Linked DNA regions of Caenorhabditis elegans. The protein of the gene in region 1 purifies or fractionates together with the protein of each later gene. This does not show direct contact. Each region holds a gene or a part of one and is shown in the gene's direction. Other genes may lie near its edges. The genes, in order: C50F7.3 and madf-3.

Region 1 (4,695 bases):
GTCAACTGTGCCACCATTGCAAATGGTGTTGTTAGTGCAGTGAACAAAATTGGATTAAATGTGCCGATGGTTGTTCGTTTGGAAGGAACTAACGTTGATGCCGCTAAACAAATCATGAAGAAGTCTGGACTCAAAATTCTTACAGCCAACAATTTGGATGAAGCCGCCGCTAAAGCTGTTTCCTCTCTTCCGAAATAATCGAAACATCTCATTTTAAGTTTATAATTTTACTTTCTAGGATTTTCCCTTAATCATTTCATTTTTCTCTTGTATTCTCGGGTATTTACTCTTGTTTTAGGATTTTTCCGTAGAGCTTGTTGTTTCTTTACCGTTGTGTTTTCCTGTTTTATTTTAGAATTTAGAATTTAAATTAAAAAAAAAATCATTTATAGAAGTCACACATTTTTGGCAAGGAATGGTTGATTACTGATATATTTTGCCCAACAATATGGATCGCAAATATTAAGAAGAAGAATAGATATCTTATCATTACTTCCACTGATCCTTCGTACACTGGCCACAAAATACCGTCTATCATAAAGAAGCTTCTTCCATGTTGCACGGAATTCTCGACGAGCTAGACGGCCTTTTGGTCTATCGTATAGGATATTGAACTGAAATTAATTATGCACACGATAATCAAACTTGAATTTTTACCTGACATGATACCAGATTTGCCTCATCGAATGCAGATTTGGTGAACAGAGCTTTAATATGTTGACTTCCATCGTAAAATATATTAACTGAATCGTAACGTAGTTTATGCACTTGTACAACTGTGAAGTATGTCAAATCAACTGCATTCGAATCTCGAGCATCTGAAGAATCTTGTATATTCATACGTGAACAAGTAATATGCTTACAATGATCAACTCCCCATCCTAAATGCCGTGCTTGTGAGCTCACATTTTGTTTTAATGTGAGGACACTATATCGAGGATCTTGATAGTGTGAGGTTTCCTGGAATTAATTTCCTTTTTTTTAATTCGTAAAGTTATTATATTCAACTAGCAAACTTCATTCGTACCGTATGCTTATCACTCAAAGAATATATCACACATTTCCTGTTGTATCTTTTAAACTCTCTTTCCATTGCAATACTTTTTGAATTGTGAATGAAAATTGAGTTACACATGTGCTCATTATTCTGAAAATTCAAACTCTTGATTAAATTAAAATTCAAATATTCTCACATCGACAAGCCAATTGAGCCATAAAATGTATTGTTTAGAAGATCCGAATACTTTTACACGATCTCTAAAATGACGATATGAGCATTTATCAACCACTTGATGAAGTGAAGGCCACATCTTAAACAACATTAATTTTGATATTTATCATATTCAGGAAGTTTTCATTTTTGAGATAAAAAGAGAAATCAAGCTTCAGTTTCACCAAAGAAGTGGGTTTTAATTGAACTTATCAGTTGATAAAGTCATCACATCATTTTGATCTTATATCTTCACAAATTCAAAACCAGAAAAACAGCAAGCCATTTTCAAAATGGCATACCCTTCCGAAAAACTGATCATCTGTTTCAGCAGTGTTTGTTTGAATGTGTAGGCATTCACGGGCTGCGCGAACGGACGATGCAGGCTGGAAATAGTTTTTAATATCATTAAACTGTTTATTAATTCAAAAAGGTCTTCATATTTTAAAGTTAACAAAGAGTCTTAATTCTGACATACCTTTCCTATAAATACGACCCGAAAAATTATTAATGATAATTGAATAACGAATACAAGAACAATAAAAAAGAGTGGATTATTGAATCGTATCGATTTCATTGTATTTCAATTCTTATTTGAATTGTTTCATTTAGGTTCGTGGAAGTGCGTCTAGCTTTTGGTGTTCCTAGATCTTTATCAAATATCTGATCTTTATCGAATGTAACAATGTTGGACAAAAACTCAAAAATATTCCGATTTAAATATATTATGAGAGTGGAAACACTTATTATTTTTTATGAAATTAAGCGTGACTAATAAAAAAGTTTATTCAAAAAAAAATTTAGCTTGAAAAAAAAAAGAAAACGAGACTCTGGCAATTCTTATTATTTCTTATCATTTTCCTACGCCTGAACAGTGATTTTACACTTATGGACGCTTTTGTAAGTTTTGGAAATGTTTGAAATAAAACTGCAGCTCTTTTCAAAGTTTAATATGGCGTAAGGTCTTCCACGTAGGCACACAATTGTAGACGATGTAGTTATGTATTATATCATAGGAAAACACAATTTTCAGGCAAAATCCCGTCTCGAAAAAGCTTTCGGTGGTGGAAAATTGCCACCAATTCATCTTTTTGAGACTCTAGAATTCTCTACAGTAGTCAAGGCTGAAGATAACGTGAGTATTAAAAGGATAACAAAAGATAAGCATATCACTTTCAGATAGGAATTGAACTGAAAAGTTCGGTTGTTGTTAGCATACCATTTGAGAGTCCATGGACGGTATGTATACGGAAAACGTTTATTGTCTCAAAATCTATATTTTTAGGGTCTTATTAAAGTTGGAGACATTCTTGTTTATCTCAATGGGTATCAGATTGGAGGCCAAGGCGTATTGGCAAGGTAATAAAACAATGTTACACCTAGATATTCCAACGTGACGTTCCCCCGAGAATTCTTAGTTCACACTGAAAAATGGCATTAAAATTAATTTCAGATTCATTCAAACAATTATCAATGGACAACCATGTGCTAAAGTAAGCTATCTGTCAGGAGCAGAAATCCCGAATACTTCTGATCGAAATTTGTTTTTCTCCAGATGACATACAAAGTGATTAGGTTCAAAAGACACATTCCACGTCCTTCCGGATTCCCGCCGCTCCAAAAGCATGAAAGCTATTCTACTGATACATTGGTATTGTATAATCTGAAAAAAGTTTTTCATCTCGGTCTTGACATCAAAGAAATCGAAGGAAAGGTTTCTGAAAGTTTAGAAGTTTTCAATTTGTTTGATTTTATTTAGATTGTTGTCTGTGACCTTGTTGAAAACTCACTTGGGGACATGACATTTAGTGTTGGAGAAACAATTCTCGATGTAGATGGCGAAAAGCCTTTGTCCTGTACTGGAGTGAGTTCTGTGTGCATATATATTATTCTATGAGAAACAAATTATAGTTCAATGAACGAGTGAGAAAGTCTCTATTGATCCGTAACTACTGCTTGGTTACTGTTGAGATTCCATCGACCGATCCACTTAAAAATCTGCTGAGAAACCAGATCACAAAAACAGTGAAAGAAGCTCCACGTATCCACAAACTGCCACCGGATGCAGCGGCTTATGGAGCTGAGGGAATTGCAGTCTTGAGAAAGTTTGGCGGTGGTGAACAGTTGAAGCCAATTTTGTTAGCAGAGCCGTAAGTTGTAAATACACATTTCTGCTTTTATACCGTACATTCTCTATTAGTGCTGCACCCCTTTGTTCCACTTTAAAGAGATATTTCTCGGTTCATTTTAAATTTCAAAAAACAATAAATTCCAAAACTTTAGAAAAATATTTGCAACGTATTTCTTCAGTTGACAATTTTTCTTAAAACAAAAGAGAACTTGAGGAATGGGGTGCAGCACTAATTGAAAATATTGGTTAATGAACATTTTGTCAACTATAGAAAATACGGTTTCAGTTTGGTTTTAAATATAATTGACACGGGACGCCACAGTCTCTTCTCTTTCTAAGATGTGCAAGTGCTTGATTCATTAGAATATTTGACCGATTTGTTTTAAATTATTAGTTCTATTTTTACTTCCAGAATTCCCAAAAGCAATGAATCTGCTCACTCTCAGCTGAAAATTGAAGAAAAAGTAAAGGAAGGAGATGTGCCAAGTGGATGGAATTCTCGACTTTTCGTGCGTCTTCCTCCAATGAAATCCGCCGAAACTGAATCAACTTTCCAACAATGATTCATTCATTTTTTTCTGAAAATAGATTTTTTGCATAAATATTGACTTGGTCTATGAGCATTTGATTTTTGAAGAAATATTAATGATAATATTATGTTTTTTTTGTTTATAACAAAAGGTCAATGTAAATAAAGGAGGTTTATGAAAATCACATGAAATGTTGCAAATACAGTAAGAGAATGAGCCGAGGGATACCTGTTTATGATATCAGTTTATGTTATCATTAGAAAACAGTCTGAAAGGTGTTTCTTCAATTGCTGATAAGAATGGGAATGTTGTGGAACTTTGAATCTATGGGTGGGTGTATCCTTTAAGGATTGGACTCTTGTCAGATGATTTGTTGATGTTGAACTAATAAAAAATGATATAAAAAGCTTGAAGACCTGGATTGAAATTATTCAGTTAGTTTCAGCTTCATATTCTTTTTAATATCCCATTTATTTCACATTCAATTTGATATGAATTTCAGAATGTTCCGAAAAGCTCTTGGGGTGCTAGTCTTGGTACTCGTTGCTCATGCCGTGGATCCATCGGATCTTCCGGATCCTTCATCCCCTCCGCCTGCTCCGAGACCATCTGGGCAGCCACCAGGACCGCAAGGACCATCCGATCTTCCAGGCCCTTCTGGAGCTCCACCTGGCCCTCCACATCCTTCGGGACCACCACATCGTCCACATCCACATCCGTCGAGAAGACCACGTCCGACTAGACTTCCCCGCCCATCAAGATCACCACATTCTGATGCTCCAGAACCATCCGCTGCAACAGATGGGTTTGAGTTAGTGTTTGGC
Region 2 (6,711 bases), on another chromosome or scaffold:
AAGATTAATCAAAAACTAAATCAAAAACTTGCTTTTCAAGAAAAAAAAAGGAATGAAGCGCATATTTACCTGAAAAAATATTTTAAAGAAAAATCTTTAAATCTTTAAAAAATTGAATTTTTTTTCTAAAATTTGATTTCAAAAAACATGAGAAACATATAATTTTCGGCAAAAAATAGGGAAAAATTGCCTAAATTTGAAGCTATATTTTTTTTTCGGAAAATCTAGAAAAAAAGCGAAAAAAAAACAAAAATTGCACTTCTTTTGTAATTTTCCAGTGCCATATTTTGGATAAAAAAGGAAAATTTTTAATTTTTTTTTCGAAAAAAGCGAGTTTTTCTGCTAAAAACACGAAAAAGGCGGAAGAAACATTTTTTTTCAAAAAATTTGAATTTCCCGCCAAAATATTGAATTTCCAAACTCCTTCCACTTTCAATGACGCCAAAAAAAAATATTTTCCTCTCATTTTTCACTCTCTAGTTGACTGCGTTTCTCTCTATATTGACGCAAATAATTTTTTTTTCATCATTTTTTCCCCCGTCTCTTTTCATTTCTCTACACAAAAAATCTACTTTTTAATCAATAAATTCCCTTAATTTTCGCATTTTTTTCAGGTCAGCCCAAAACATGTCACCAAATACGTCACCCAAGTGCTTGTGGCGAAGAAAGAAGCCGAGTTGAAGCTGGAAAATCAGAAATTCGGAGAGAAAAAGGAGATTAATCGAAGAAAAGAGCTTCTGATGAGTGGAATGGATGAAGATGAAGCTGATAGGCATTTGGAGGAAATGAGGACTCGAAGAATGACAAATTCCAAGAGAAAGCTGGAGAAAATTAGTGGACAATTGGATAAAAGAGATCGATTTCAGAAGAAATTGGCGGCGAAAAAAGTGAAAAAGGAAGAAAATTGAATTCATTTTAAATATTGTAATTTTTGTTCAGCTTGTGTCGATTTACGCGGCTCGTGTACTCCTCGTGGAGAAGTGCAAAATTTTTACAGTTTTTGCTCAAAATTACAGAAAACTGTTAACAAAATGCAAATTTTTGAACAATTAAAACAATTAAAAGTGGCCAAAAATTACCAAAAATTGCAAATCTCCACTTTTTCAAATTAAAATTACGGTATATTTTTGGCATTTAAAGTTGTGTTTGCGGCAAACGATTTTTTTCCGGCAAATCGGCAAATTTGCCGGAATTGAAAATTTGCGGTAAATCGGCAAACCTGCAACTTGCCGAAAAAACGGAAATTGCCATAGATTTTCGGCAAATTGCGATTTTTTACCTTTTTTTTTTTTGATATTTCAGAATTTAAATTTTAATCGGCAAAACTGTACGCATCCTATGACTATTCCTACATCTAATTTGAAAATTGGCAAATTCTATGAAAATATCTAGAAAACCGACAAAAAAATTTCAAAAAAGCACAGTTTCAAGTTTTTCCGTCTCGTAAAAATTCTTCCAAAAAATTCCTGCAAATTTATGTTCGGTAAATCGGCAGGTCGACAATTCGCCGATTTGCCGATTTTGTCGACAAAGAAATTTGCCGAACAGCAACTGTTAACAAAATGCAAATTTTTAATTTAAAATTAAAATTTTTAAGTTGCCAAAAATCACCAAAAATTGAAAATCTCATTTTTTTTCTGGGATTTAAAGCAAAAAATCATTTTTTTTTAGTGTTAAATTCAAAATTCTAGTACTTTACTTCTCCTCGTGGAGTACACGAGCTTGCGATTTCTGTTGTTTTAGATTTAAATTGTTACTTTTTTTGTTTTGTTTTGTTTTTTTGTTGTTGATTTCTTTTGAAAAAAAATCAATATTTTCTATCACATCTATTTTCTTTTTATTCCCCATAATGGTTTCCTTAAAACCTTCCTCATAATATCTCTAAAAGCCGTCTCAAAAAGCGATTGCTCTAACACTTTCAGCTAATCATGATCTCCAGTGAGCACAACTATCAGCATTTATATCACGAAGAACAATACGATATGTGAGTTTAAAATGATATTTGGATAAATTTAGAAAAATCGAATTTTTGAAAAAAAAAATCAGATTTTTCTCAAAAAAGATCCAATTTATTTTCCGATAAATTGGCGAAAAATCAACAATTTTTTATATATGAAAAAAGAAAATTTTTCTAATTGTAAGTACTTACGAAGTGCTAAAAATAATTTAATCTACTAAATAAAAAAATTAAAAAAAAACTTTTGTTGTCAAAATTTTTTTTTTTCAACAAACAATTTTTTATTTTAAAAAGGTAAAAAATCAGTTTTTGCAAACACTTTTTTTCGAAAAAAAAAAACGTTTTTTACTTTAAAAAAAAGATGTTTCTAAAAACCTTCGAAAAATACCAGATTTTTCGAAAAAATTGCAATTTTTTTAATACGAAAATTTAAAAAAGTTAATTTTCGAAACAAGTCCATTTTTTAATTATATATTCTATCAAAAAAAATTGAATTAAAAAAAAACTTGATCTTCCATTAAAAACACATTTTTTTTCGATAAAAATCTTTAAAAATCTTAAGGTGTTTTTTCTTGAGAAAAAATACTCGATTTTCTTTTTAAAAAAAACTGCGCTTTTTTTGTAAAAAATTTAAAAAAAAATTAATTTCCGACAGAAAAACTATTTTTTAAAATTATATATTCGATAAAAATTCAAAAAATCGCGTTTTCCTTTAAGAACATATTTTTGGATAAAGTTTGATGTTATCAGTTTTTTTTTTCAAATTAGAAAAATCAAAAATTCACTCAAAAAAATCCCAAAAAGCATTTTTCCGAAAAAAAAGTTCGCTTAAAAAAATCAGAAAATTATCTGATTTTTCTAAAAAAAATCATAAATAACCTTTTTTTGCAGGAACTACACAGCGACCCGCTTCGGCGAGGAAATGATCGAACCGACATTCAACCTACGTCTCATCGAAGCCGTCCGTCATAGTCGATGCCTTTTCGACAATACAGACCGACAATACCGTAATACAGAATACAAAAATCGAGTTTGGCAGCGTCTGGTTACTGTACTCGGTTTTGATGGTGATCCGAGAATGTTATCTGCGAGATGGAAGCAATTAAGAGATAAATATGGAAAAGAGAAGAGAAAACAAAAATATGGAAATGAGAAATCATCATGGCAATATTTCAAACATCTTCATTTTCTAGATCCACATATGACAGATCGAGCAGAAATATCACCATCTCGAAAAGAGCCAACTGGAGTTCATGAAAAGATTGCTGAGCCATGTTTTGGAAAAAATCTAATTCTTGAAGTGAGAAGGCATCCGTGTCTTTATGATGTTCGTGATCCAAAATATCGTCATGGAGACTGTCGTACTCAAGCATGGGGAATGATTATTGATAAACTACGATATCCTGGAACAGTTCCGTCGATTTATAAACAATGGAAGAAGCATCGAGATCGATATGTTAGGGAGAAGAGGAGGCTGAGGAATTTGGTAGGCATTTGGAGGCCTCATGAAAAGGAGAACTTATGGAAAATGGGATCTGGCAGGCGGCAGTTGCCGGTTTACCTATTTGCCGGAAATTTTGATTCCCGGCAAAGTGACGATTTGCCGGAAATTCTAATTTTAGGCAATTTGCCGGTTTTCCGGAAATTTTGATTTTTGGCAAATTGCCTATTTGCCGGAAGTTTTCATTTTGGGCATTTTGCCGATATGCCGGAATTTTTAATTTTAGGCAATTTGGCGATTTGCCCGAAATTTTGATTTTTGGAAAATTGCCTATTTGCCGGAAATTTTGATTTTTGGCAAGTTGCCGATTTGGCGATTTGCCGGAAATTTTGATAAACGGCAAATTTGGCGATTTGCCGGAAATTTTGATAAACGGCAAATTTGGCGATTTGCCGGAAATTTTGATATTCGGCAAATTTCCGGTTTGGCGATTTGCCGGAAATTCTAATTTTAGGCAATTTGGCGATTTGCCGGAATATTTTTATTTTCGGGATATTGCCTATTTGGCGATTTGCCGGAAGTTTTAATTTCGGGCAATTTGCTGATTTGCCGGTTTGCCGGAAATTTCGATTTTCGACAAATTCGGCAAGTTGGAAATTTGCCGGAATTGCCGGAAAAAATCGTTTGCCCCTCCCTGCCTGGCACTGCCAACGCACAAAACTCAATTTTTCTTTGAGAAAAAATTGGCACAGTGCCAGAATCCCCTTTCTCAACAGTATCCCGTTTTCGTGGAGCCTCTATTTTTGTTTTAAACAGAAATTTTACAAATTTTTCTTAGCAACTTCAGGGTGATCCGAATGTTCAAGATGTGTCAACTTGGGAGATGTATGATGATATGGCTTGGATAGATCAGCATTTGGATGAACGTACGAGCTTTTTTTCCTGGAAAATTAAAACAAAAAACCTTTAAATCAAACTGATCCTGAATGCCGAAATACCATAAAAGGCCCCCGAAAAAAAAAATCAAAAATCATTAAGTTTGAAAAAAAATCGGTTGATTTTGGTTAATTTTCAATTCTGACTAATCTCCTAATCATTTAAATTGCCGCGCCTTTTTCAGCGCCGCACTCCGTAGATCTGTATCTGCGCGACGTTAATTCTAGTTTTTCCCGTTTTTTCCTCGCAAGTGAAGACAATAGTGCGGATGCAGATCTACGGACAATAGTGTGGATGCAGAGAGATTCAGGATCAGTTTGCGCATTTTGAAGTAAAATCCCTCATTTACTCCTACTCCTCCAGCTTTAAAATCGTTTTTTTTCCTCAATATAAATACGAAAAAAGAGTTTAGTTTTAGAACTCTTGTTTTGACATGTAAAAAATTTCGCACCGCCATATGTGAAATTACGAATTACGCAGTTCCATGTATTATTTTACGTGGCTCCTAAAATCGCCGGAATAAATACTTTAAAAAAAACTAAAATTTTGCAGAGCAACTATCTCGATGTGCTCGAAGTCTGAAACGAGGGGGAAACAATGACGGAGGAAATCAGGATGAAATGTCAGATTATGGAGATTACGATGATGAGTGAGTGAGCTAAAATGAGCAAAAAGTTGATGAAAAAAAAAGAGGAAATTTGACTCTAAAATTGATCAACTTCTAACCAATCAGCGCTCGGCCCCTTCTCTTTTTTGAACCAATCAGCGACGACCTGTGCCGCTGATTGGTTCGGAATTGCGCGGAGTCGGGCGCTGATTGGTCGGAAGCAAATAGTGGCGGTTTTAAGACAATTTTCGGTGATTTCTATTAGATTCTCTAGAAAAATTGAAAAATTTTCAAAAAAAAAAATTCAAAGATTTAGAAAAATGAAATTTTAAAAATTTGGAATTTGCGAAAACTTGATGATTTGGTGCAATTTTTTCCGACAAGTAATCACAGATAATTCCAAAATAATAATTTTATTTTGCCAAAAAAAAAATCAATAAACCCCTGAAATTTCCAGCATAAACTACGTGATGATGGCTGAAAAGCGACCAAACAACGGTGATGTACTTCTCGACGGAGATTCTGCATTCTCTGCATCAATTGTATCGGATCTAAGGACACTTGGAGAAGAAGCACGAATAATTGCAAAGCAGCAGATTATGATACTTTTGGAATCCGCTAAACCTCCGTCTACACCTGCTCCTAATTATTTGTGATTTTTATTGAATTTTCTAGCCGAAATTTTCAATTTTTTGTCCACTTTTTATTACCCAACCTCGAAATTTCTTCGATTTTACCCCAAGCCGGGTCTCGCCACGACCCAAATTGATAAGTTGAAAACTTTTTTTTTGATAAGTTGAAAATTGAAAAAAGTGTGCGCCTTTAAAGAGTACTGTGTTTAACTGTGAATTTTTGTCGAGTTTTTCTCACAATTTGTGAAAATTTATTGTCTTTTTTATCGAAAAACTATGAAAAATTGATGAAAATTCACGAATTTTTGAAGTTACAGTACTCTTTAAAGGCGCACACCTTTACACACGCACTTAACAAAAATTGTCGCTTCGAGACCCCAGGTACTGTAGTCTTGGCGCATTTATTTCCAATTTTTTTGATCTTTATCCCATCAACTGGTCTCATCATATTTTCATATTTGTACAATATTTCTGTATCTGTATTTTTTTTTGTAATTTTTGTGGGCAGTTTCTTAATTTCCATCGCCGTCTTTCCTATCTCAGGTCCTTTTATTTCATGAATAATTGATTTTTATCCTAGAAAATTTGGATTTTTTGTTGTAAATTTACCTCTTTTAAGGTGTTCAAAACCTACTTTTTATCTGTGTTTTTTGAAAAATTTTGAAAAATTTTTTGCGGATGGGTCTCACCGCGAAGTCTGAAAGTTACACTGCAACTTTTTCCTCGCGAGGGACGAGGAAAAGTGGTTTCTAGGCCATGGCCGAGGGGCCGACAAGTTTCAGCGGCCATTTATCTTGCTTTGTTTTCCGCCTGTTTTCTTTCGTTTTTCATCGATTTTTTTCGTTTTTTCTTAATAAAACTGATAAATAAATATTTTTTGCAGATGCTAAAACAATTTCCAATTTCCAAGTGAAAAAATCATGCATTCAGTGGGCAAGCAGCGGTGAAAGTGGTCAATGTAATATGATGGATTACGGGAATACAAAACCTAAACTTTTTCTGAAACATGATACATATGATGCTTAGATGCTGAAATTACCTGATTTTCATAACGAGACCGCTGAAAAAGTTTTGAGGTTTTCAAAATTCAATTTTTTTGTGCGAAAATCTCGACTTTTTCACCAAAAAAGTTGAATTT

The links.
Region 2: the proteins of C50F7.3 (region 1) and madf-3 fractionate together in Caenorhabditis elegans (co-fractionation; one large-scale study listed by BioGRID). This does not show direct contact.

The regions. Positions count from the first base shown.
Region 1 is NC_003282.8:7,730,274-7,734,968, forward strand, and holds C50F7.3 (PDZ domain-containing protein), read left to right. Parts: upstream 1-2,055; 5' UTR 2,056-2,098; coding exon 2,099-2,110; intron 2,111-2,243; coding exon 2,244-2,345; intron 2,346-2,389; coding exon 2,390-2,449; intron 2,450-2,495; coding exon 2,496-2,569; intron 2,570-2,663; coding exon 2,664-2,703; intron 2,704-2,765; coding exon 2,766-2,924; intron 2,925-2,969; coding exon 2,970-3,074; intron 3,075-3,121; coding exon 3,122-3,360; intron 3,361-3,663; exon of another isoform or gene 3,664-3,684; intron 3,685-3,753; coding exon 3,754-3,904; 3' UTR 3,905-3,957; downstream 3,958-4,695. Other genes in the region: sucg-1 (Succinate--CoA ligase [GDP-forming] subunit beta, mitochondrial), read left to right, coding at 1-198; C50F7.9 (Poly-N-acetyllactosamine extension enzyme), read right to left, coding at 396-614, 658-818, 864-960, 1,028-1,147, 1,194-1,310, 1,513-1,596, 1,689-1,787; clx-1 (Basic proline-rich protein-like), read left to right, coding at 4,375-4,695.
Region 2 is NC_003280.10:4,332,828-4,339,538, forward strand, and holds madf-3 (Alcohol dehydrogenase transcription factor myb/sant-like protein), read left to right. Parts: upstream 1-1,920; 5' UTR 1,921-1,984; intron 1,985-2,848; 5' UTR 2,849-2,879; coding exon 2,880-3,443; intron 3,444-4,245; coding exon 4,246-4,324; intron 4,325-4,886; coding exon 4,887-4,983; intron 4,984-5,398; coding exon 5,399-5,597; 3' UTR 5,598-6,211; downstream 6,212-6,711. Other genes in the region: H20J04.4 (RNA helicase), read left to right, coding at 615-908.